Linked DNA regions of Cricetulus griseus. The protein of the gene in region 1 interacts with the protein of each later gene in a pairwise test. Links are inferred from orthologs where the notes say so. Each region holds a gene or a part of one and is shown in the gene's direction. Other genes may lie near its edges. The genes, in order: Rbpms, Pogz, Qki, Znf488, Gse1, Sema4g and Fam168a.

Region 1 (2,696 bases):
CCAGCTCTTCCTCTCCCTGGAAGCCATGGTTCTTTTGAGAGCTGAGGATAATAATGAGACCCGAGCTTCACCCTTGGCATAACCACTCATGTAGTCAGCCCATGACAATTATTGCTGGCCATTGACAAGTAAAATATAGGTTCTATCTGTCTTACTACATATGCCACTCAACCTGGCCTCTTAAAAATTGCTGGCTGTGGACTGGTAGGATGGCCCATTGGGCAAAGGCACTTGCCGCCAAGCCTGACAGCTTGAGTTCAATCCCCAGGACCCACAGGTAGAAGAGAGAGCTGCCTTCTGCCAGTTGTCCCCTGCCCTCCACACCAGTACTCGTGCAGACACCCAAACTAAACAAATACTATAAATCTTTGTAAATTGTCAGACTGGTCAGGTGTGGGGGGGTGTTTATTTTGCATGGTCTTTGTTTCCAAGGCTGGATGATACCCCTTCATGTCCTGATTAAGAGGCCTGGGAGCAGCCCCAGAGAGTGTTCCCAATCCACTGTGTCAAGAGTACTGCAGGCCAACCTTTCTTTATCTGAGACTCCAGTGCTTTTTGCCTGCATTGGCAACTGGTTTCCTTAGCTGTTTGTTCTCCCTGGGGCATCATCTGCTTCAGGCAGACAGAGTTCAAAGGGAACCCCATTGTCTTGTGCCCGGGAACAGATATTGTCTGTCCTCTTCAGGGAGGGGGTACAAAGCAGTGTGGGGAGTTAGGAAAAGTGCAGAGGTGGCAGTGACTTGCCTTGGTTCAAGAAACAAACTGAAGTCAAGGATCAGGTGTGCCTTTTGCTTTTCCACCCTCTGCCCGGTGTCTCTACATGGGTCAGTGTTCAGTAACCCTGGTGACTGCCAGGTAGCAGGCAGGAGCAGCTAGGTGGTGGCTGTCTTTAGCTGAGTCGTTAGTGGTTTTGTGCTGTGGATAACTTTGTTGACAACAAAGGTCCATAAAGTCCCCATTTTGTGTGCCCCACACTTCGTGTGCAGGTATGCCCTTCTTGCTTAGGGTTCAGGAACAGAGCAACCAACTGTTGGGGTTATTAGCAGTACACACCATGAAACAGTGCAAGGTTGCACATCGGGCAACAGAGCCATTCACTGCTGCCTGGAGAATCAAGGCTTGCTAATGCCCAGAAAGACCTGGGAAGACTGGCTTTGGTCATGATGTGACATGACATCTGGAATTATTTGCAGGATATGGAGGGTAAAGGCTCTCTAACAAGGGTCTTGGGAGATTTAGAAAGCCTACGCCCCTGTGAGGAGGGATGGAGACCCAGTGCAAGATTAGATGCATCACGGCGTGTGCCTCGTTGGCATACATCACCCACACGACCCCCTTCTCTTGAGACTTCCCCAGCCTGCAGTCCTCCTAACTCAGCCATCAGCCCTACCTTTGGTGGAACTCCGATCTGCTGGTGGTGAGATCCATGTCGAGTCTCACTTCTGTAGAGTCATTTAAATGAACATTCTTAATAAATGTATTTGTCCATGTTGGAGTGAACTGGTAGCTTTGCAGACAACTGATCCAGCCCGTTACACAGACAGGGAACAGGGCCTGAGGAGATGGAGAGTTGTCCCAAGTCACAGTGGTTCTAGAGTTCTAGAGCAGGTCTGTCACCTGCTTCCCTTGCTAAAACAGCAAGGCGCCAGCTCACCTAATTCTTTTACTCTTGATGGAATTTTGGAGAGGCCTTGCTCCAGCGATTTCTTGGAACTTTCTTTTCTAAGTAAATGGGAAATCTGTCAGGAGAGCCTTGGAGGCCAAGATGGCTTCCGAGAATACTGACTAGAGGGGAGCAGAGTGGGGGCCCCTTCCTAGGTGCCTGGGGTTTTGTTTTGGAAACTGAGTGTCTTGGAGATTCTTCTGATTTTGCTTTTTTTTATTTTTTATTTTTTGCAATGTTGTGCTTTGTTTTGAGACATGGATTTTTTTTTTTTTCTTCTAGTGTTTCTCTCCAGAGGCAAAGCCCAACACACCTGTCTTTTGTCCTCTTCTCCAGCAAATTAGATTTGTCTCTGGGAATGTGTTTGTCACATATCAGCCTACTGCAGACCAGCAGAGGGAGCTCCCATGTTGAAATTGTTAGCAACCCCCACCCCCCTTTTGCAAAAAACAAAAAAAATCAAAAAAACAAAAAACTATTTCTTGATGATATTTGAGAGATTTCAATAAAAATTTCAATCAGAGGGAAAATGATCTCAAGTAGACTACAGAGTTTGTTTTCATGGTGCTACAATTTTGGAGCAAAAGTATTTAATCTCTGGCTGAGTTTGTGAGTACCTGGCCCGTAGAAGCTAAGTTGCATGTTTCACGGGAGCAGATTCTGAAAGAGCACCCTAGAAGACTGCGCCCAGCTCCAGGGCTTCATCGATGCCGCTGCCATCTTCTCGAGCTCCGAAACCACCCTGAGCTTCATGTTAGAAGATCCTCGTGCCAACAGGTCATCGGCTACCAGAAGTTCTTGCATCAGCACCAACAAGGCTGCCAGATCTAGCTAGGGGACACATACTGCTGTGTGCCTGCTCTGTTCCCAAGGAAGGGAAGACCCCCAAAATGGGACCTCCGTTATTGAGTTGGATCCCATTTCTAGTTCGGTTCTATCTAGTCATGAGCTACAATTCTCTCTCTGGTTTAATGGTACTTATGTACCATCAAATCCCATTGCTTTTGATCTAATTAATGGTGGCATACACCTG
Region 2 (3,500 bases), on another chromosome or scaffold:
CATCATGTGCATGCCTGGTACCCAGAGAAACCAGAAGAGGGTGTCAGATGGTTGTGAGCCACTGTGTGAGTGCTAGAGAAACCGGGGTTCCCCAAAAGAGCAGCCAGTGTTCTTAATAACTGAGCCATCTCTCTAGCCCCTGTAATGGTTTTAAAAAATCACAAAGTGGTTCAGGTACGATAAGACGGTGGCTCAGCGTGCAAAGATTTTCTTTTGTTTGGTTTTATTTTTAATTTTTTTGCATGCAAAGAATTCTTACCGCCAAGCCTTACAGCCTGAGTTTGATCTCTGGGGCCTACACTGAAGGACAGAATGGACACTCTGACCACATGCACAGTCACATACACAAAATAAACTTAACGTTTAGATGAGCATATAGAGAAAGTGGAATCCTTATACCGTATTGGCAGGGATATAGCACAGTACAGATACTGTGAAAAAATAGTTTAATTGCCATATGCTTTAGGAGTTCTGCTTTTGAGTACATAGTGAAAAGCGTTGAAAGCAGGGACTAGAACAGGAGTTTGTACCTCTGTGCTCATTAGCTGCATCATTCACAGTAGGCTTAAGGTGAGAACAGCCTAAATTGCCATCAGATCGTGAATGTGTAAACAAATATGTCTTGTTTAATACAATGGTATGTTATTTAGAGTTAAAAAGGAAGTTTTTTCTTTCCAAAAGTTGTTTTTATTTTTGAAATTGTAAATTTAATTACATTTCTTCCTTTTCCTTCCTCCACACCTTCCCATATATCTCTTCCCATTCTTCTTTAAATTTATGGCTTCTTTTTTCATCAGTTGTTATTGTACACATATGTACATCTATACATACATATTCCTAAATAATAACCTTCTTGACTCCATGTAATATCACTTGTATGTATAGGAAGTCGTTTTGACATAATACAACATGGAAAACTTTAAGGGCATTATTAGTTTATGTGAAATAATGTCAGAGTCTGGGCCAGTAGTGTGACATAGGAGACCCTGGTACAGAAAGGCCATGGGTATAGCACACATGTGTTATCCTAGACCCTGGCACATGGAGGCAGGAGGAGCGGGAATTCAGAGCTGGCTTCCACTGTATCATGCCTTTAGCGATGGTATGGGCTATAAGAGGTGCTGTTTCAGGCGGAACTCCCCCCAAAATAGTTTCAGTTCTATAAGGTAAGAAGAGTTCTGGAGGGCTGGAGAGATGGCCCAGTGGTTAAGAGGACTGGCTGCTCTTCCGGAGGACCTGGGTTCAATTCTCAGCACCCATGTGGCAGCTCACAACTGTCTGTAACACTAGTTCCAGCAGATCCAACTCTCTCACACAGACATGAATGCAGACAAAACACCAAGGCACATGAAATTAAGTAAGTAAAAAAGTTCTGAAAATTATACATCATGGATGTACTTCGCCACCTAAAGCACATACTCAAAGCCAGTTATAGTGCTGAGTATTGCTTTCTGTATGTCACAGTGTCACAATTTATATGTTTTGTTTTGTTCTAAAACCAGGTCTTCCTATGTAGGCCAAATGGAACTAAATATATAGACTAAGCTGGCCTGGAACTTGGTGATCCTCTTGCCTCCACTTCCCAAAGACTAGGATTATAGGTGTGCATCACCATGCTCAGCTCCATTACAGTTTTAAAAAAGAAAGGTGTCTTGTCAGCCATATGGCACATCCTGTTATCTCAGAACTCGGGGTGGAGGCATGTTAATCATGAGTTCAAGGTTAACCTGAATTACACAAATATGCTGTCTGAAAACAAACCAAAAAAAAGACATAAGTGGGAGAGAGAAACAGAACTTTACCTAATTAGAGGTGGTGGTAAAGGGCATTCCCAGCTCGTGAGTGAAAACAGAAACTGACTGCTGGTCAGATGCCCTTTGTTCTCAGTCTGCCAGCCAGCCCTAGTGAAAAAGTATGCCTCTCATGCTTGCTTTTTACTCTTGGCTGTTTTCTCAGGAATCTTGCCCCAGTATGCTGTATTAATCTTATTAATTCTTCTCCATTCTTCCAGTGACCTCTTCCATCCCAGCGTTTGACCTCCAGGATGGTGGACGGAAAATATGTCCACGGTGTAACGCTCAGTTCCGTGTCACTGAAGCCTTGAGAGGTCACATGTGTGTAAGTGACACCACCTGTATCAGGAGCCAGCTTAAGTGGCCTCCTCTTCCCTCTCTGATAGTGAGAGCATGAAAATCAGATGCTTAAACTGGCTTGGAAACTTGTAAATGCTGTTCTCTCCTTTGGTATATTGTAGAAAAGGGCTATGTGAACTGAAAATATGATATCAGCATTTAAAAACTGCTGATAGGTGATGGGACACTTACTGTCTTAGCATGGTAGATTTGATCTCGCGGGACAGCAAGTTTGTTGCATAAGACCACAGACAATTGTCATAACCTCAGCTCAGTTTTAATTGTGTCACTAGAAGAATTAAAACCTGTTACCTGGTCCCTGCTTTATTTATAGTCTTGTAACTTTCTGGTATCAGTCCAAATGAAAAGGTTGGAACTTCTTTCTCTAGAATGTTCCAAGTCAAATGATGCTATTATAAGTCTCTAGACAGGCAGGTGGGAGAGCTCTAAAAGGTGTAGTGTTAGAGGCTCTGTGGACATATAAAAGAAAAATGTGAACTCTGGGATTACTAAAAAAAGCAAGATGAAAGCTGGAAGATAACCACCTTACCCAGCTCAGGTGTGCTAATGAATGCCTATAGTCCAGCTACTCCTGGACTATCCTGAGCAGAGATCCCAGTGTCCACAAACATATCCTTTATTGCCTACATTAACAGATCACTCCCAGGGACTATTAGTGATATGGATTTAGCTCATCCTAGTCTCGGGTAATCAGAATCATGACGTCATCTCTTTTACAGTACTGCTGCCCTGAAATGGTTGAGTACCAGAAGAAAGGCAAGTCCCTCGAAGCAGAGGCCAGTACTCCATTGGCAGCAAAGCCCTCATCCCCTGAGAAGACAGCTCCCATCACTTCCACACCCTCCTCTACACCTATTCCTGCTCTCTCACCACCTACCAAAGTACCAGAGCCAAATGAGAACGCTGGAGATGGCGTCCAGACCAAGCTTATTATGCTAGTTGATGACTTTTACTATGGACGGGATGGGGGCAAGGTAGCCCAGCTCACGAGCTTTCCTAAGGTTGCCACATCTTTCCGATGCCCTCATTGTACCAAAAGGCTAAAGAACAACATTAGGTAAGCATGAAAGTAGACAAATTTTCTTACCTTGTTAAGTTTTTCTTTTTGGAAACATTAATTATGATGCAGTCTTGTTAGAAGTTATAGTGTACAATACTGTTATTTTATTAATAAAGGATACCAGTCTCTTTGCACAGAACCTAATTTTAGTTTTAACAACCTATTATTTGGGGACTGGAGAGATGGTTCAGCAGTTGAGAGCACTGCTGCTCTTCCAGAGGACTGGGGTTCAATTCCCAGCACCCACATGGTATCACAACTATCTGTAACTCCAAGATCTGACTCCC
Region 3 (3,943 bases), on another chromosome or scaffold:
CTCGCCCCCCACGCAGGCGCGCTCTCCGGCCGATAGGGCGGGGCGACCCTCGGAAGGGGCGTGGCCACAGCCCTCGACGCGCGCACGCGCCCTCGGCCTCACGGCTACGTGTCGGGCCACGTGATGCCCACCCGAGAGTGCCCCCAGTGAAGCAACAGGACGTTAAAAAAAAAAAAAATTCTCCTTTTTTTCTTTTCCTGAGGGGTGGCGAGGAAGGTGGACGAAGAGGTTTTAAAAAAAAAAAGAGAGAGAAAAAAATCCCCTCAAACTATAGTAACGCGCCGAGAGGCGAGGCCAGGGCGGCGGCGAGCGCAGCGCCCGCGCATAGTCCCGCCGGAATTCCTCTCAGCCGACGCGCCCGACCGCGCCCGCCGCCTCAGCAACAGCGCGCCGACGAGCCAGCGCCGCCGCCCGCGTCCCCTCAGCCGCGACCCCGGCCCCGCGCAGGCCGCCGCAGCCGGCGCGCGTCCCCCTCAGCCGCGGCCCGGCCCTCGGCCACCAGCCGGCCGTCCGTCCGTCCCGCCCGAGCGGCCAGGGGCAGGGGCGCCGGCGGCGGCGGGGGGCGGGAGCGCGCCTAGCCCCGTAACGGCCGCCCTGCGCGCCCGGCCCGCCGCCCGCCCCCGGCCCTGCCCGCGCCCCTCCCCCCGCCGCCGCCGGCAGCGCCGCCTGAACTGAGGCGAACTCCGCCGCCAAGTGAGTGAGGAGGAGGAGAGCCGCGGAGGAAGAGGAGGAGCGGCAGTCGGAGCGGCGGCGGCGGCGGCGGCAACGCGGGGGCGCCGCGGCGGACAGCACCGCAGACTCGCGAGCTTCGGCGCAGGCGGCGCGACCGGCCGACGAGCGGCCCCTCGACTCCTCGCGGCGCAGCGGCCCCGCGCCGCGCTCGGCCCCGAGACCCGCCTCCGCCGCCGGCCTCGCGAGGGGAGCCGCGCCGGGCGGCCGAGGAGCGGCGGCCGCGGCGCGTCGGGCCGGGCGAAAGTGCCTGCGGGGGGGCGGGCGGGCGCGCGGAGCCGGCCGCCCCGGGGCTCGGCGCGGGAGCCGGAGCGGAGTCGGCGCGGAGCGGGACGCCGCGTCCGAGCGGCCGGCGGCCGGAGCTCGCCCCGCCCCTCCCTCCTCTCCTCCTCCTCTCTCCTCCTCCGGCGGCGCGCGGCGGCGGCGGCGCGGGCGGAGTGAGCTGCGGAGCCTGGAATATGGTCGGGGAAATGGAAACGAAGGAGAAGCCGAAGCCCACCCCAGATTACTTGATGCAGCTGATGAACGACAAGAAGCTCATGAGCAGCCTGCCCAACTTCTGCGGGATCTTCAACCACCTCGAGCGGCTGCTGGACGAAGGTGAGCCTCTCGACCCCCGCGGGCGAGCGGGCGGGCGCGGCGGCCCGGGATGGCGGGGCGGCGGGAAGGTCAGGCGGGCGGGCGCACAAAGGCGGCGCGGGCGGCTCGCGGCGGGTCGGGGCCAGGGCCGGGGCAGGCCCGAGGGCGGACCCGGAGCTCGCGGGCGGCAGGGCGGCGGGGCGGCGGGGCTGCGGCCAGCTCCCGACGGCGCGGCAGATAGACACCCCGCCATCCCGACCGATCTGGCCGGGCCACGCGAGCTCTGCCTCGCCTCGCCCGCGGGGCCCCGGCTGGGGGTGCCCGTCTCAGTGGAGTTGTGTGGCCCGCGGTACAGGAGTGGACTCTTCGGGTGTCCACAGATTACGTAGGGTACCGAAAAGTAGTGCTTATGTGGCCGAAGGCGAGCACGAGCTGACACAGAGCACAGCACTTTTTTTGTCCTTTGTTTAGGGAAGCGAGAACTGTTTGGGAGTTTAACTTCACTTTTTTTTTTTTTTTTTGGGTGGCGGGGGGAGGAGTATGAAATACCGCGATGACAGACCTGAACGGAATCCGAGTTCGGAAGAACTCACTGGGGCGGAGGGTTAGCTCCAGGCGTAGCCGCCCGCGTCCCTGGGGCGGGGAGCTGGAAGTTTGAAAGGACGGGAATAAAATAGAGCGCAAGTTTGCAGAAGCCGAGTTGGGAGCGCTGCAGGGAGCGAAGAGTGGCTAGAAGATGCATGCTGGTCAGCTCTGGCAGTCCTCTAAGAACTTCTCTCAGCAGCGACCTGGAGTGTTAGTTCCCAGGAGCCGTGGGTTTCCGCGGATTCCCGGGGCGGCCTGTGGGGCAGGAGGACCAACAAGTCCGCTTTGAAAACCGTGTAGCGGGGAGTTTCCCTTTTGTTTTTAAAAGTCTCCAGGCGGGGGGCTGTCTGAAGGAAGCGGAAAACTGTGCTGATGTGCGGATGAACAGTGGATTTTAGCATCTTGAGAAGAATCTCGAAATATTTTCAAATACAGCTAGAGAAATCAAAATTTATGCTCAAGGAGCAGGCATATCAGGGAAGAACAAAAGACTTTGAATACCTCCGAGCTAAGAGCGAGCTTCTTTTGGGTGGGGAGCCATAGGCAGGACTTGAGGCAGAAAGCGCTCAGTTATGACGCCTGAACATGCATACAACAGTAACAAGTCGAAAGGGACATTTCCTACTTTTGGGTCCGCGTGTCTGTTAGTCTCAGACGCCTCGGAGGAAAGTTGTGCTGCCCCTTTAAGGGGTTTTGCCTATTTGTGTTGGCATTTGAAAGATTGTGGAGGCAGAAAACTTTCTGGAATGTCAAAAAAAAAAAAAAAAAAAAAAAAAAAAAAGGAGGGTGTGTGTGTGCTGGAACTCTTCAATTGAGTATTTCCAAATGTGAGCGCTAAGGGGCGCCAGCTATTTTTTTTTAACCTTGGAATGTTTGGAACAAAATGTCTAGCATGCTTAAAAATCTGACCTATATTAAGTTCAGTAGAAATTTAAATTTTAGGTGACTTCACCTGTCATTATTTATCCACAAATGTGATTTCAGAGACAACACCTAATTTACTGTTATTTTTTCACTTGGTGTGTTGTTTTCATGGTATTACTGTGAAATTTATGATGAAAATTATAGTTTTTTAAAAGTACAGTGTATGGGGAATCTCTTACACGCCTAGACAGCATTTAAAATGGATTAATATGCATTCTTAAAGTTCTCCGTATACTCAAGTGACATATTGAGATCATAAAAAGTTTGGAAATACTATAGGAGTTTCCTCGATTAGTTGTAAAAGGCTGCTCATGTAGTCTTTCAGACTGATCAGATATAACCACCTTAGTTTGAGGTTGGCATAAGTCAGCTGGAGGAATTTCAATTATGTCATTATTTCTGCACAGGCTTGTTTATTACTCTCTAGTTAGAAATAGTAACCCTTTGTGTTCCAAATGTAAAAGAAAGCTAGTTTAGGATTACAGTATTCAAAATAATATTTGTTTCTTTCCTTTTCCTGTTTTCTCCATCTTTCACCTCAGTCTGCCTTCTGTACTCAGGAGTCTGCATTAGGCCAGTATACAGAGAACTTCCATGCTTGTAGGTAGTGTGTTTACAATAGACCTCAGAATGAATAGGAAGTGTGATTGTTTTAATCATATCAGAGCAAATGTTGCAGGACAGGGGCTAGTCCTTAATGTGTTATAAGCCTTTTCCTGTACTTGCTAGTCTTATTATAAATTTAATTTGACTTGAAAATACTGGTTTCTTAAGTGCAAGATCATAATTTTCTTGCTAGATGACTTAATTGTGAAAATTGGCAACTTGTGCTTTACCCCCTTGTGGCCTCTCATTGTCCAAAAACAAATTAATCATGACTTGTGTTTGTGGTTAGGGATTACACTCTCCTTTGTCTGTAATGCTTGGCAGAAAGATTACTTTTAAATTCAGATAAAACTAAGTTTCACTTTAGGGATTAAATTGTTCAATGGCATTGAGATATTCTATTCTCTGATAGTTAGAAATTTTGAATGGGACTGTCTAGCAATTTTATTTTTAAAATACTTTCAAGCAGTGAGCTTTTAATATAGTTCCTGTTTGAGAATTTTCAGTTGACTAACAACTT
Region 4 (2,691 bases), about 130 Mb from region 1:
GCTACTTCTAAGCACGTGTTTGATGGTTAGCTCCCATAGTGTGGGAAGAACATAGGACTCCACACTGGCATCCCTCTGGAAGCCCTCTGGGGCTTCAGTCCTCTATTGCTGCACCCCGCTGTGGCTACCCATGCACCTCCCTTCCACTTGTACTGTGACCTTCTATAGCTTTCCCTTTGTGACTCACAGGATGGCCAGATCTAGGTGAGGTGAAAGCAATGTCTTTATGAAGCTTCCCCACAACAAATACCCATCCTTCTTCCCCGTCCCTGGCTGGTCTATCAAGGCCCCGACTCCCAAAGGACTCCACAGAAAGCACTCCTTATCAGGGACTGGAGTAGAAAAATGCATAAAACTAAGCAGTGGCCACTGTGTGATCGCAGTTAGAGTAGGGTCCACATGGAAAGGCAGCCTGACCATACAAGGCTTAGGTGGGAGTTGGGGAAACACAGGGACAAGGAATCTAAGATTGGTCCAAAGGAACCAAAAGAACATAGTGGAAGCAGGTTGGGGATGTGATGGAGGGAAAGGGGCTGCTAGTGTAGGAGACGGGGAAGGAAAGGAACACCATAGGAACCAAGATAACCTTGCACATTGTTGTTTCCAGATGCTGTGGCTTCCCCCAGGCTCTGGAGCACTAAGAACCAGACTGAGCTGGAGCAGGAGCTGATGGTTCTTTCTTCCTCACTTCAGGGTCATCTTGTCGGTAGGTGTCCACGATCCCCCATTTTCTGCCTCAGAGCAGGCTCCCTTCCCTACCTCTCCAGCTTCCAGGGTTCTGATGCAGGCTTGCTAATCACAGTAGGTGTTTCTGTGGCTTGCCTGCCTTTCCCTGCGTGGGGCCATGGCGTAGTCATCTGGTTCCATTGCTCCAGGGCTCTTTCTGGCAAATGCCTGTCTCCACCTGCTGCCGGAGTCTAAACTATCTGAGCTCATTCTTTCTCCCTTTCTCCTCAGATGACCCTGCTCCCACTTCACAGACATCAAAGGAAGGCCAGAAAAAACTGGCTTGTCTGGTGCCAGCCTACATGATGGGGCACTGACTGACCAGTGCCTGCCTCACTGCCTGTTGCTCTGTTTTTCTGCAGAGACCAGTAGTCAAGTGCATCCAGTCCAGGCTCATAGCTCCTCCTGGGGGTAGGGACAGTCCTTTGGAACTCCAAAGCCCTATAGACTAATGGCTGCTGGAACATCCACTTTGCTTAGCCTGTCAGGTCCTGCTGATCACATGGCTGAGGGCAAAGGGTCTTCTCTGAGTGCTTCAGTTGAGAAAAGATGGAGGCTCATGGAACCCAAACAGATCCAGCCAGGACTGCTCAAGAAAATAACTCTCCTGGACTCTGGAACCACTGCAGGTAAGAGTAGCCAAGATGTGACCTCTTCTGAACCAAGCCTGTCAACAGCACTGAATGAACCTCGAGTGGACAGGCATCTGGCCTGCAAGGCATGCACAGAGCAGAGGCAGGGTACCTTCACAGAACTGTCTTGTCTCCAGAAGAGGCCAGGGGACATTCAAGCCCAGAAGAGGAAGCCAGAGGACCCAGAAGGCTGGCTTGGCAGTGAGCAGCGGCCCTTGGATCATCCCAGAGCCTCAGTGGATGGCACAGTGTGCTCAGTCTGGCCAGGAGCAACCCGAAATGAGCAGAGAAGTGCTTTTAGCAAGCCAGCCAAGCGCCCGGCAGAGAAACCTAGGCGCTCCCCCTTGCTTCTGGACAGTGGAAATGCAGAGGGCCCATGGGAGCTCTCTGGACTCATCACCACTGTGGACATACCAGGATGGGCTCAGCTGTCAACGTTCAAACTCATGGGTGACTTCTGGAGATTGCATACATTGTCACAGAACATTCTGCTCTGTAATGCTTTCCAGGGGGCTCCCGCATCCTGGCTGGATCACACCCAGGTGCAAGTACCCACATCCTCAATGCCTTCTGCCACAGCCTCTCAGGCTCTCTTGCCTCCCACCCTCTCCTCCCCAGGCCTGTCCACTCAGAACTGGTGTGCTAAGTGCAATCTTGCCTTCCGTCTGACGTCTGACCTGGTCTTCCACATGCGTTCCCATCACAAAAGGGAGCATGTGGGCCCTGATCCACATTCTAAGAAACGGAGAGAGGAAGTTCTCACTTGTCCCATTTGTCATGAGTACTTTCGGGAGCGCCACCATCTTTCCAGGCATATGACTTCACACAGTTAGTAGGTTGTTAAGGAGAAACCCAATGGCCATAGAATCCAGAGCTCAGTGTTGAGGCACAAGTGACCCCTAGCCTTTATTGAGAAGGTTGTCATAGGTGTCTTCAAGGTTGCTCTCTTTGCTTCCCAGAGATGAACAGCTCAGTTATAATTTGTCAGATATCCCAGTCCTTGTGATGTGTTTTTCTGGAAAGCCATGCATTAAAATGGCAAGATTGGCTCATGGGATAAGGGGACCTATGACCTAGGGAACAAGGCTGTTCCTGGCTCTGTTCCTAGTTCTCTGCTTGGAAGCAAATGAGCACAACACCCTTGACTTTGTTGGCAAACAAGCCTGCATTCAATCTGGGCTCTCTCACCTGGGAGCCATGACCTTGGACATATTCCTTTAACTTGCTGACCCTAAGTTTTCTCATTTTAAAATGGTGTGTTAATGAAATGTCTTCAGTCTTGAGGAAGGTGTGTGGTAAGTGGCCAGCTCATTTCCTGGTAGCATTTGAAGTT
Region 5 (4,055 bases), on another chromosome or scaffold:
GCCAGTCAGGGTGGGGGCAGGCTGTGAGGACTCTGTCTCCAGGGTGATGCAGAAGACAACTCCTTTTCCTTCTGTCTCTAAAAACTAGGGCATTGAACTCAGAAAGGTGACCCCAACCCTGGGCTACTGAACGGCCAGGACCTCCCCAGGTTCTGGGGGAGGGGGTGGGGGTGCTCTTCCCAAGTCTCCCTTGGTACCCATCGGTCCTCACCTGGCTCTAATGCGTCCGGCTTGACCTTTCCTTAAAGATCAGCGGCAGCGGCTGATGGGTTTCGTGGGTCCCAAAGGAGACCCTTCAGACAGCCCGAGCCACGGGCTGCAGAGCCCCTAATTGGAGCAATGAATCACTGCGGGCTCCTGCTGGACACAGAATAGACAGAGGAGCTGAACGCTATTGTGCCATAGTTTGGGACACAGGGGGGTGAGAGAGGATGGGGAGGGAAGACGGGGGTGGGGGGCGGGTTGGGGAGAGAAGAGGTCAGGGGAGGAGGAAAGAGGAGGATGGAGAGGACAGGATGAGTCAGGGGAGGAGGGGCGGAGAGGAGGTAAGGGGAGGAGGATTAGGAGGAGGAGGAGGCAGGGGAGGAGGGGACGGAGAAGAGGATTAGGAGAAGGAGGAGTCGGAGGGGGGGGGAGGGAGGAGGAGCCCGGGTGGAGGCGGGCAGCAGGGCGGCGCGAGGGAGGGCTTCCCCGCCTCCGCCTCCCTCCCGCGCCCTCCGCCCCGCGCCGCCCCGCCTCCCTCCTCCCAATTAAATGACCCGACGCTCTGGCCGGCGCCGGAGCTCGCACATGCGGCCGCCGCAGCCGCCCGGGGCTCGTCGCCACTGCCGCCACCTCCACGTTCCGGGCGCGCTCTCCGGCGCCGCCTGGGCCCGCACCGCTGCCAGCCGGGGACTCAGCAGCCCCAGGCACCGCCGCAGAGACCCTCCGTGCGCCCCGGGCCGCGTGCGCGCCGCCGCCCGCCAAACTTTGCGAGTTGGGCGCGGGGCCTCGGGCGGCGCGGCCGGAGCAGCGGCAGCCGCGGGTAGCGCGGAGGCGGGCGCGGCGGCCGGGCCATGAGCGGCCGGGCGGCGCCGCTCTCCCGCAAGCAGCGGCTCATGGCAGCGGCGGGCGCGGCCCTGTCGTGCTTCATCTGCGGCGGCGGCATCGCGCGCGGCAAGGAGCTGAAGCTGCCGGTGAGGCCGGCGGGCCCCGCGCAGCCCTTCTTTCCGTTCCTGCAGCAGCAGGAGCCGGCGCCCGGCGCGCGCGGGCTGAGCGCGGCCGATGGCTGCGTGCTGGTGTGCGCCGTGTGCCGCTGTTTCCTGGCGGAGCAGTGGGCCGCCTTCGAGCGCGCGCGCACGCCCGTGGACAAGCGCGTGTACTGGCTCAAGCGGCCGCACCAGTGCGACGCGAGCGCGGGTGGCCGGCGCGGGGCCCGCGAGTGGAACGCCGAGGACGCGCGCGACTCGGAACTGTCGGAGCTGTCGGACGCCGACGCGCTACCAGAGCCGGAGCCCGAGCCGGAACCTGAGCCCGAGGATGCTCACGACGCCACGAAGCCCGGAGTCCGGCGCCGACGCACGGGCCCCGGGACGCACTGGACTCCGGAGCCGCCTCGGGCCAGCGTGCTGAGGGGCGTCCAGGAACCCTGGCCCATCCCCACTGCCCCTGACGGCACGGACAGCGCCGCCTCTAGCCGGGCCGCAGGGCCCCCAGAGCGCAGCAGCACCCCCGAGGGCAGCGACGTCGCTGGCAGCCTCGGGGACGAGGGCCTGGAGCGGCCTCCCCCGACGCCCGCGGACAGCCAGGCCCGCTGCTGCTACGTCTGTGGGTCGGCGCTGTCGCCGGCCTCGCAGCAGCAGATCCACGTGCAAAAGCAGGAGGCGCCCTCCCAGGCGCCCTTCTTCCCCTTTCTGTGGCTGCATAGCCCCCCGCCCGGAGCCCAGCCCATCACTGAGGCTGGCAGCACCCTCGTATGTCCCTGCTGCTTCTCGTCCCTCACGCACCAGTGGCAGAGCTTCGAGCTGGCCAACGTGCCTGTCCTGCAGCGGCTCTACGTGGTTCCCCTGAACAGCCACGCCCCCGGCATGGCCTCCAAGGCCCGGAGACTCCCCAGAGAGGAGGGCCCCCCCACTGCCGCGGGCCTGCTGCGGGAGGCCTGCTACCTCTGCGGGGAGGATTGTACACGGGATGCCCGGGCAGTGCCCTCCCGCATCGTCAATGGCAACTCGGGCGGCTCCATGCACTTCCCTTTCCTCAGCCTCCTGCCTTGCCCACCCAATGCTCGGCCCCCCAACAAGCACTGCGAGGTTCGCAGCTGCCCCAAGTGCTTCAGCGTCCTGGAGGACGTCTGGGCCCTGTACCGGGCATCACACAACCGTGAACTCATCAACTCTGTGCAAGGCTTCCTGGGCAGGTACCACCAAGCCTTCTCGGCCTCGGACCCTACTCTAAGCGATCTGCCCGCTTCTGCACAGGGAGGCCCGCCTGCCGTCTGTTACATCTGTGGGGCTGAGCTGGGGCCGGGCAAGGAGTTCCAGCTCAGCATGAACCCCGCTAGCCACCTGGGCGAGAAGGAGCCCTTCTTTCCTTTCCTCACTGTCTATCCGCCCGCCCCACGGGCCAGGCCTGCAGACTCCACCGGCCTGGTGGCCACCTGTGTGCTCTGCTATCATGACTTGCTGGGTCAGTGGCTGCAGCACGAAGCCAGAGCCGCTCACCAGGCTGTCAGCGCCTGGTCTAGGCAGTACCAGGTAGACACGTTCGTATGCTTCTTCTGCCAGCAAGAGAAGAAACGGTGTCTGGGGCTGAAGTCAGTGAGGGTGGCCAGGCTGCCCTTGTTCCTGTATACCCTGAGAGCCAGCCACAGCCTGTTGGTGGATGATGGCCGGCAGCTGATCATTGGTGCCTGCGTGGAATGTGGGACCCTGGTTTGTGCAGGTCAAGGGCTTGTCAGCCAGGGATCCATGGGCTGGAGCTCCCCAGCAGCAGGAGCAACAAAGGTAAGCAGTAGCTTTCATCTCAGAGCATCTGTGTCTCAAAAGGAGAGATGTTTTCTGTTCCTTGGCAGTATCATTGGTTCTGTATGGAGTGTCCCAGCAGGAGGCGTTCTCTTTGCCTTGCTAGCTTGGCTGACCTTGGAGGCCTGGGGCAGGAGGTTAGAGGGTCTGGGGGCAGGGGTGGAAGAATAGCTGCTGCTGGAATCAGCAGGCATGGGGCTGAAGCTGGGAGTGTTTGCCACGAATCTATCAAACGGAGGAAGTTCAGGGCACGGCTGTTGTCCGCCCGATAACATTGGTAATTAGTGTAGCCACGCAGGTCACCCGGAGGTGGCTAGTTCCTCTGACGAGCTCCTGGCTGCCTCGCTCTTCCCAAGATTCCCACCCAAGTGCATTTCGTTTGAGTCTTCCTGGTGGCTTTATGAAGCAGATGGCAACAGATTCCAGACGTGTAGGCGTGGGACACAGGCTCATGGGACCCAGGATGGTGGCCTAGACAACCTTTGCAGTGGTTAGTCTCTTCAAGTCAGCTGCGTGGAGCTGAGCCGAGGCCTGGGGCCTGTTCTCAGGATGCAGCTGTCTGCCTGGTAGGAGACAGTCAGGGCACTGGGATGATAGAACCTAGCTTTGTAAGAAACTGGGCAGGAGCTGGCCAGGTGGCCCTGGGAAAGGGGGCAACAGGCAGGGAGGCAGGCAGGCAGGCATCTGTGAACTGCACTCACTGTCCTGCCCTTGGGCTGGGATCCTAATTCCTACCAAACAGACTGTCCTGTCCTGGACAGAGAGAGGCCTGTGTGGCAGTGACTGGCCAGGGACCTGCAGAGAGACATAAGGGTGGTTAGGTGGGTCCAGTTCAGGAAAGGCTGTGTGTAAAGTATCTGGTTCCTGCAATTGTGTGTGTGTGTGTGTGTGTGTGTGTGTGAGAGAGAGAGAGGGGGGGGGGGGAGATATGCCTGGGCACATGGAGGCTGACCTATGAGGCAATCTTTGTTGTGCCTGGGTGTCCCTTTCCCAGGCTCACAACCCCAACTGCCTCACGAGTTGGCCTTGGTCTTGAGTTGCCTTTAAGGTTTTGAT
Region 6 (4,208 bases), on another chromosome or scaffold:
TGACTCTTGTAAATACATGTGCTCTCCAGCCTACTTGAACATGTGTGCACACCTGTGAGCAAGTGTGTCACATTCTTCAGGAACCATGTGACTCAAAACTAAATGCACACATGTACCCATGCACTCCACACTGACTGGCTCCTGCCTGACCCTTAGCACTAATTCCCACTTCTGCTAGCCCTAGGGCTCCCCTTCTGTGCTGAGCAAATAGGAGGCCCCAAAAGCAAACAGGTGTGCCTTTACAGCAAGGTGGGGCTCAGGTAGCCTGAAACCTCCTGTTGCCCCAGCCCTCAAAACAGGAGCTTGAGGAGGCCCTTTCTGTGGTAGAGACCCCCCTTTCTTCCTCTCGTAGCATGCTCACCTTTAACTCCTGAACAGACCCTCCAAATTCCTGCTATTCCTCTGACTAGCTCCAGATTCCTCCCCTCTCTTTAGGGCCATATGGTTAATATTTGACCCAGAAGGAAAGGAGAGGCTGGTGACACCCTCTGACCCTGGCTATGGGTGTCTGATGACATTGGGTGGATCAGGCTTCCTCCACACCTTGCCCAGCCCAGGAAATCTTTGGAAATACCCTGGAGATAAGAGGGAGGCCATGTCACCCACCTCCACCTCGGCTGTAGGACTAAGGGTGGCCAGGAGTCTCAGAATCCCACTGTTCACTGTCTCCACATTGCTTAGGTCTTACCTGGTCTCACACACACTGCAGTCTCCTGCACAGACATTACACTTGTGCAGCTCACGGAACTAGATACCTGCACCTCACTCCCACCCCCTCACACTTGTGCCGCCTGCCAGCAGGTAGGTCTAGCAGGTAGGGACTCGTGTAGATGCCCAGCCAGAGGGTGAGGTATGGACTCGCATGGGCAGGGCAGGGATGTGCACCCCCTCAGAGAAAAATGCCAAAGAGAGTGTCTAATTAAAGAGAAATTCCAAAGGGAGCTCTCAGGCCAATGGGAAAGAAAAAACAAAGGGAAAACAGGACAAAATTAACAAAGGCCCATTAACTGACTCTGCCCAGGCCTTCCTGCAGAAGGCACCCCCGCAGGCAGTACTGCTGGAGGAACAGGCCAATCTAAGAACCAATGCTCTACCTAGATGGCCCCAAGCAGTGTTCTGACTGGGCAAGGGCTGTTACCATGGGTATAGATAGGTTAAAGCTAGTCTAGGGTCTTATAAAGACAGTAAGTTCACCACAGCCTTCTTTAGCAGAGCAGAAATGGACAGAATGTCTGAGACTGCCTTGATGAGGGAGTTCTTTGGATGTCGGGCCTCCCTCTGTCTTTCAGGGCCCCTGAAGTCTGGGTAATGCCAACCATCTTCCACCCACACACAGATCAAAGGGCTTTCCATCAGAGGGATTTTGATTTTGTTTTTGTTTGCTTTTTTTTCCTCCAGAAAACGGAGAGAAACTGGAACTTCCCCCCATACCCTCGGTTGGGGAAAGGTGACCCCTTCAGTCACCTACAACTTTGCTGGGACCCTCCAAAGCCCACTCTCCATGGAATTTGCCTTTGATGCTGAAAGACACGTGACCCGCCCATCCATCCCTCTGACTTCTGAGCTGTGATTCCATGGCCACACAACCTTGTGGCTCCATGTCTCCCCCATTCCAGGATCCTCCATGGCCCCATGACTACCTGATCCCCATGGCCTCATGACCCCTAACCTTCCATGTGATCACAGCCTGGACTTTGACCCCAGTGATTGCTCTTCCCCTCCAGTCCTGTGACTCTGGCCCCAGCTGCCTTTGGGGTCCTGTTGGACTGAACTTACCCAGGAAGATGTGGGGGAGGCTCTGGCCCCTCCTCTTCAGTTTCCTCACAGTAACAGCAGTCCCTGGACCCTCGCTGCGGAGACCATCCCGAGAGCTAGATGCCACCCCACGGACAACCATCTCCTATGGAGGTTAGATTCCCCAACCTTGCAAGGCTATGTCTGCCAGATCTGCAGACAGGAAGTAGCCCCCCACAGACGGCTCTCTGCCACTCTTATTCCCAGAGCTCTCCCAGATCCGGCACTTCAAGGGCCAAGCTCAGAACTATTCCACACTCCTGCTGGAGGACGCTTCCGAAAGGCTGCTGGTGGGAGCTCGAGGTGCCCTGTTCTCTCTCAGTGCCCGTGACATAGGAGATGGGGCTCACAAACAGGTCAGCCCTGGCAACCATGGGGTCTTCAGCCCCCTGGGACCTCAGTTACCTGGAGGCTTTCCCAGCCTTCCAGCCTCTGAGCAGCACGGCCCTTTCCAGCCCAGAGCCCCTTCTCAAATTCACCCCACTCCAGTTTCCCCCGCACTCTGGAGCCCCACTGTGTGATCCTCTGGGTGGTGGATATTGAGGTCAGTATTGCAGTCTGTTCCTCTATTCTCACTAGATCCACTGGGAGGCCTCCCCAGAGATGCAGAGCAAGTGTCACCAGAAAGGGAAAAACAACCAGGTATGTGATCAGCTGTCCCCAGCTCTTCTTTCTTCCTCCTCAACCAGGCAGGGGTCCCAGAACTGGGAGGGACACAGATGGAGAGGTACAGATGAGCAGCCAACTATACACAACCACAGTGAACATTAGGAAAGGCAGGCCTTGGGGTGACCATGTCGCCTGGCTTGTCACAGTATCTTAATCCCCACCCCCGGGGGTCGGATCTCAAATTATCATCGTAACAATAAGTAGCTGCTAATAAGTAACAACCAGATCTAATTCTAAAACAACCTTATGATGCATTATTATCTCCATCTCACAGATAGGAAAAATGAGACTTTGCTGGAACACTAGTCCAAGTACCTGGTGTTCATGGAGGGACCTTAGCCAAGCATTAGTCCTTTCTAGCTAAAAAGCAGGCTGTCTGCTGGGAGGGGGATCATATCTGGCTATGTAACAGCCATTTGCAGAGTTTTCTGTATTTATTTCTGTATTTATTTACCGATTTTGGAGTTTTGTTTTGTTTTTTGTTATGTTTTGTTTTGTTTTTTGATACAGGGTCTCACTATGTAGCCTTGGCTGACCTGGACTTTTAGTATGTAGACCAGGCTGGCCTCAAACTCATAGAGATTTGCTTGCCTCTGCCTCCCAAGTACTGGTATTAAAGGTGTGCACCACCACACCTAGCTAGAGATCTTTTTAAGAATATACATTCTTGCTGGGCGTTGGTGGCGCACGCCTTTAATCCTAGCACTCGGGAGGCAGAGACAGTTGGATCTCTGTGAGTTTGAGACCAGCCTGGTCTACAAGAGCTAGTTCCAGGATAGGCTCGAAAGCCACAGAGAAACCCTGTCTCGAAAAACCAAAAGAACAGAATATACATTCTTGGACCAGCGACGTGGCTCAGCAGGTTAAGGTGCTTGCCACCAAGCTTGACGAACCGAACAGTGAAAGGAGAGACAGGTTATCTTCTGATCTTCTTTCCAATGTGTACCATAGCACAGGCATACACATACACACATGAAATAAGTAGATACAAAAGAAAAAAAAAAACCCTAACACATTCCAAGCCAGTTATGGTAGCATTTGCCTGTGTATAAGCACACACACACACACACACACACACACACAGAGTACACATTCACACTGGGCATCGTCGTGGTGCATGCCTATGAAGACAGCCCTATGAAGACAATGAAAGGATTAGGAGTTCAAAGAAAGTCTTGGCCCCAAACAAGTTTGAGTCTAGCCTGGGCTATATGAGATTTTGTCTCAAAACAAAAGCGAGAAATAGCTCAAGGTCCATCAACCTAGAGATTCTGACTCAATGAGTGTGCTGTGCCCCTCTAGAACTGTCTGTCAGAGGCTGCCTCAGTGCATTGTGGTTAATAAACAGAGCTTGTGGGGCAGGAGAACCTAGATCACAAAGTGTCATAAATGCCCAACGCAGGGTTTGGGCTTTATTGTGACAATGACAGCCGTACTGTTTGATGCCTTAGAGGCCCTCATACATGAGTCATAGGTTCCAGATCAGTAGGTCTGGAAAGGGCCCAAGATATTTCTAGAAAGCCGTCTGAAGATGCTGTCTCTGGTCCCCAGACGACTTTGGGCAGCAAAGTGTCAGAGCGTGTCCCAAAGCATCGTCCTGAAGGACAGTCATTTTCAAAGGAGGAACTGAGTGGTCCAGTATGTTTGCAGAGGGCAACATTCCCATCTCACAGTGCACAGTGACACCCTTAAGGCTCTGAGAAGTCACCTGGTCGAGATAGATGTGTCCACTTCCCAAGCTCATC
Region 7 (3,500 bases), on another chromosome or scaffold:
TCTTTTACATATTCTATCTTAGAAATTCATCATTTACACTATTATTAAAGACTTTTCCTATCTCCTCCTAAAACTAAAGTCTAGAGATTTGGCATTATTTACCCAAGTTTGGAAGAAAGCCAGACCTAAGCCCACATCTCTTTTCTTTCAACAAAAGCCTGCTCCACCCTGCACCATCCCCAATCCTGTCCTGACTTGTGAGCCCTACTTCTATCCGTCCTTCTGAGATACAGGCATAGCCTAGGTTCTAGGTCACTGTGTGTCTTCCTGATTTCTAACTTCAGGTGTTTGGGCAGAGGTTTCTCCCAGCCACAAGAAAGAAGAAAGGCCAGCTTTACAGAGCAATTTTCAATATCCTAGAAGATAAGGATCTCTGAGTAGTGGTTTTGTTTGTTTTGGTTTTTGAATGTTTTTTTTTTTTCCTTCAAACTTGTGAAGAGCAAGGGAATATGATCGTTGAAGCTCATTAGTGGGAGATAAGAGAAGAAAAGGAGAGAGAATGAAGTGCTCAGGATACACATGTGTGACCAGCTTGGGCTTCATAATGAGACCCTGACTCAAAAACCAAGGAGTTAGAGAATAGGGGAAGCAAGACAGAGAGAGATAGAATCGACAACAGAAAATATCCTGAGATGCTAAGTGAGGAACCAGAACATAGCAAAAAGAAATGGGCATCTAGGGCTGGAGAGATGGCTCAGAGATTAAGAGCACTGCCTGTTCTTCCAGAGGTCTTGAGTTCAATTCCCAGCAACCACATGGTGGCTCCCAACCATCTGTAATGTTGTCTGGTGCCCTCTTCTGGACTGCAGGGATACATGCAGGCAGAACACTATATACATAATAAATAAATCTTTAAAAGAAAGAAAGAAAGAAAAAGAAAGAAAGAAAGAAAGAAAGAAAGAAAGAAAGAAAGAAAGAAAGAAATGGGCATCTGTCAGTATATATCTGCCTTTCCACACAGGCAACTCAGAACTCCAGGTTGTCTGTCAGCGTAAAGGGCCCAGTAGAGACTATTTGGTTCTAGCTTCTGTTTTGGATGAAAGCCCTGAAACCCAGAGAAATAAAAGAGCCCCAAATCATGCTTGTAGCCCTGTTCACCAGGACTGAGGGAGCTGCCTGGGGCTGTAGCTCTGGGGTGGAGCTCTGTTCTCTTATCTGACCTCACTTGTGTTTCCAGCTGGATTCAACCCATTCTTGTTTGAGGAATTGGTACAGGGTGCCTGCTGCCTTCAAGCAATGCTATTCTGCCAACTAACTAGAGGTCTCTTTTATTGCCTTGGTACAGGATATACTGCAGGGACACCATACAAGGTCCCACCGACCCAGAGTAATACTGCTCCACCCCCCTACTCCCCATCACCCAACCCCTATCAGACGGCCATGTATCCAATCAGAAGTGCCTACCCCCAGCAGAATCTGTATGCCCAGGTAGGTACACATGGAGGACCTCTTGTGCAGGAGCCTCCAGCAAGGATGGGGTGGCATGGGATGAGGAAGAGAAAAGAGTTAATGGGTCTGGCCAGCTGTCATTACTGAAGCAATATTCCTGCAGGACTGCCTTCTCTGCCTCACTTCCAAAGGGTGAAGCATGAAGTCATTTAGGTTAACAGAGCCCCAGATGCTGGAGGACCATTAGAAATCATCTAGCTCAACTCCTTTGTTGAACAAGTAGAGAAGCTGAGACTGCAGAGGAGAAAGGCTTGTCTGAGGTCACACAGTGAGTTATTGGCTGGTTCAGGCTGTGCTATCACTTGTCTTGATCTTCCCTCTTTTAATCTCACACCTCCCTTGATAAAATCTATGAGCCAAGTAGGAAAGAAAAATAATATCCAGTGTCTGCTACCAGTGCCCACTGTGACCTAAGGCGAGTGATTCTTTTGTTTGTTTGTTTTGGGGTTTTGTTTTTGTTTTTCGAGACAGGGTTTCTCTGTGTAGCTTTGGAGTCTATCCTAGCACTTGCTCTGTAGACCAGGCTGGCCTCGAACTCACAGAGATCCGCCTGCCTCTGCCTCCTGAGTGCTGGGAGTAAAGGCATGCGCCACCAATGCCTGGCACGAATGATTCTTTAGTATGTCTTATTGGACCCATTTGGATTTCTTCTGCTGGAGAATGTGTGTAGCTGATAGGAGGCAAGAGGGAAGCACCATTTGAGACTCCAGCATGGCACATTCTTCTGAAGTGACAATTCTACATGAGGTATAAGTGGTAAGGGAAGATTTGGAGTTTAAACCCAGCTTTGTTGTCAGGCAGTGGTGGTGCATGCCTTTAATCCTAACACTCAACAGATAAAGGCAGGCCTGTCTGTCCAGTTCAAGGCCAGCCTGGTCTACAGAGCAAGTTCTGGGGCAGCCAGGACTACATAGAGAAAACCTGTCTTGGGAAAAATATAAAAACAAAACAAAACAAAACCCAAAACTAGCTATACTGGTGCTGGAGAGATGGTTGGTGGTTAAAAGCACTTGCTGTTCTTGCAGAGGTCCTGGGCTTGATTTCCAGCACCCACATGGCAGCTCACAGCCATCTGTAACTCCAGTTTCAATGGATGCAATGCCCTCTTCTGGCCTCCATGCAAGTGGCACACAGACACACATGCAGGCAAAACACACACACACACACACACACACACACACACACACACACACGTATTTAAACAACTAATAGAAAACATTTTTTTAAAAAGCTGTGTGGTGGTGGAGCACACCTTTAATCCCAGCACTTGGGAGGCAGAGGCAGGTGGATCTCTGTGAGTTCGAGACCAGTCTGGTCTATAAGAGCTAGTTCCAGGACAGCCTCCAAAGCCACAGAGAAACCCTGTCTAGAACCCCCCCCCCAAAAAAAATAAAGAAAACATTTTTTTTTTTAACTAGCAATGTTGCAGAGTATACTACAAAACTGGGGCATGACAACATGTGCCTTTAATTCCAGTATTGGGAAGAAGTTCAGGGTCATCCTCAGCTATATAGTGAGTTCAAGACCAGTCTGTCTGGAAAATAAATAGGTAAGTAAGTAAGTAAATAGAAAAACAGGAAGTTTAGATCAATTTTTCTCCAGTATGGTATAATATCTTAGCCTATGCTGTCTAACCTCTAAGGGTACAGCGAGACTTTTATTATTTACTATTAAAGCCAGAGAATTTCTGGATTAATCTCAGATGCTTCTGTCTGCTCCCAGAGCTCAGGAGGCTGAAATGTAGCACCTGAGAAGAGTCATGTGGTCTGGGAAGGGCAACATCACTTCAGACTACTGTCTCCCGAGACACCTTGGGAAATGCTATCCAATAATGACATAGCAAACATAAATCAACAACATTCACACTGGTGTATGAATGCCATTAATAATGCTTCTGCCTGTGTGGCAGTGTTCTGGTGTCCCCATGCTCAGAAACTCACTGTGTTCCTTACTGTTAAATTAGGGGCAGCTTATGGACATGCCTTAGAATCAAATTTTGAAAATTTTTAAATGTTAAAACCAAGGCTAAAGGAGAAAAGCTCTTACTAATT

Evidence for each region.
Region 2: the proteins of Rbpms (region 1) and Pogz interact in binary tests that used the Homo sapiens proteins (3 or more experiments, as listed by UniProt). The two-hybrid records come from large-scale screens. The link is inferred for Cricetulus griseus from reciprocal best matches to the Homo sapiens genes RBPMS and POGZ.
Region 3: the proteins of Rbpms (region 1) and Qki interact in binary tests that used the Homo sapiens proteins (3 or more experiments, as listed by UniProt). The link is inferred for Cricetulus griseus from reciprocal best matches to the Homo sapiens genes RBPMS and QKI.
Region 4: the proteins of Rbpms (region 1) and Znf488 interact in binary tests that used the Homo sapiens proteins (3 or more experiments, as listed by UniProt). The two-hybrid records come from large-scale screens. The link is inferred for Cricetulus griseus from reciprocal best matches to the Homo sapiens genes RBPMS and ZNF488.
Region 5: the proteins of Rbpms (region 1) and Gse1 interact in binary tests that used the Homo sapiens proteins (3 or more experiments, as listed by UniProt). The link is inferred for Cricetulus griseus from reciprocal best matches to the Homo sapiens genes RBPMS and GSE1.
Region 6: the proteins of Rbpms (region 1) and Sema4g interact in binary tests that used the Homo sapiens proteins (3 or more experiments, as listed by UniProt). The two-hybrid records come from large-scale screens. The link is inferred for Cricetulus griseus from reciprocal best matches to the Homo sapiens genes RBPMS and SEMA4G.
Region 7: the proteins of Rbpms (region 1) and Fam168a interact in binary tests that used the Homo sapiens proteins (3 or more experiments, as listed by UniProt). The two-hybrid records come from large-scale screens. The link is inferred for Cricetulus griseus from reciprocal best matches to the Homo sapiens genes RBPMS and FAM168A.

What each region holds. Positions count from the first base shown.
Region 1 is NW_023276807.1:51,013,785-51,016,480, forward strand, and holds the end of Rbpms (RNA-binding protein with multiple splicing), read left to right. Parts: intron 1-1,945; coding exon 1,946-2,077; 3' UTR 2,078-2,196; downstream 2,197-2,696.
Region 2 is NW_023276806.1:61,643,436-61,646,935, reverse strand, and holds part of Pogz (pogo transposable element with ZNF domain), read left to right. Parts: intron 1-2,011; coding exon 2,012-2,118; intron 2,119-2,872; coding exon 2,873-3,210; intron 3,211-3,500. UniProt on the Homo sapiens protein: Plays a role in mitotic cell cycle progression and is involved in kinetochore assembly and mitotic sister chromatid cohesion.
Region 3 is NC_048595.1:290,489,551-290,493,493, forward strand, and holds the start of Qki (protein quaking), read left to right. Parts: upstream 1-1,143; 5' UTR 1,144-1,187; coding exon 1,188-1,329; intron 1,330-3,943. UniProt on the Homo sapiens protein: RNA reader protein, which recognizes and binds specific RNAs, thereby regulating RNA metabolic processes, such as pre-mRNA splicing, circular RNA (circRNA) formation, mRNA export, mRNA stability and/or translation.
Region 4 is NW_023276807.1:185,393,951-185,396,641, forward strand, and holds Znf488 (zinc finger protein 488), read left to right. Parts: upstream 1-1,177; coding exon 1,178-2,191; downstream 2,192-2,691. UniProt on the Homo sapiens protein: Transcriptional repressor. Plays a role in oligodendrocyte differentiation, together with OLIG2. Mediates Notch signaling-activated formation of oligodendrocyte precursors.
Region 5 is NC_048596.1:196,859,103-196,863,157, forward strand, and holds the start of Gse1 (genetic suppressor element 1), read left to right. Parts: upstream 1-1,255; 5' UTR 1,256-2,066; coding exon 2,067-2,981; intron 2,982-4,055.
Region 6 is NC_048596.1:16,576,008-16,580,215, reverse strand, and holds the start of Sema4g (semaphorin-4G), read left to right. Parts: upstream 1-1,408; 5' UTR 1,409-1,784; coding exon 1,785-1,908; intron 1,909-2,001; coding exon 2,002-2,150; intron 2,151-2,373; coding exon 2,374-2,436; intron 2,437-4,208. UniProt on the Homo sapiens protein: Cell surface receptor for PLXNB2. May play a role in axon guidance.
Region 7 is NC_048596.1:98,713,128-98,716,627, reverse strand, and holds part of Fam168a (protein FAM168A), read left to right. Parts: intron 1-1,285; coding exon 1,286-1,428; intron 1,429-3,500.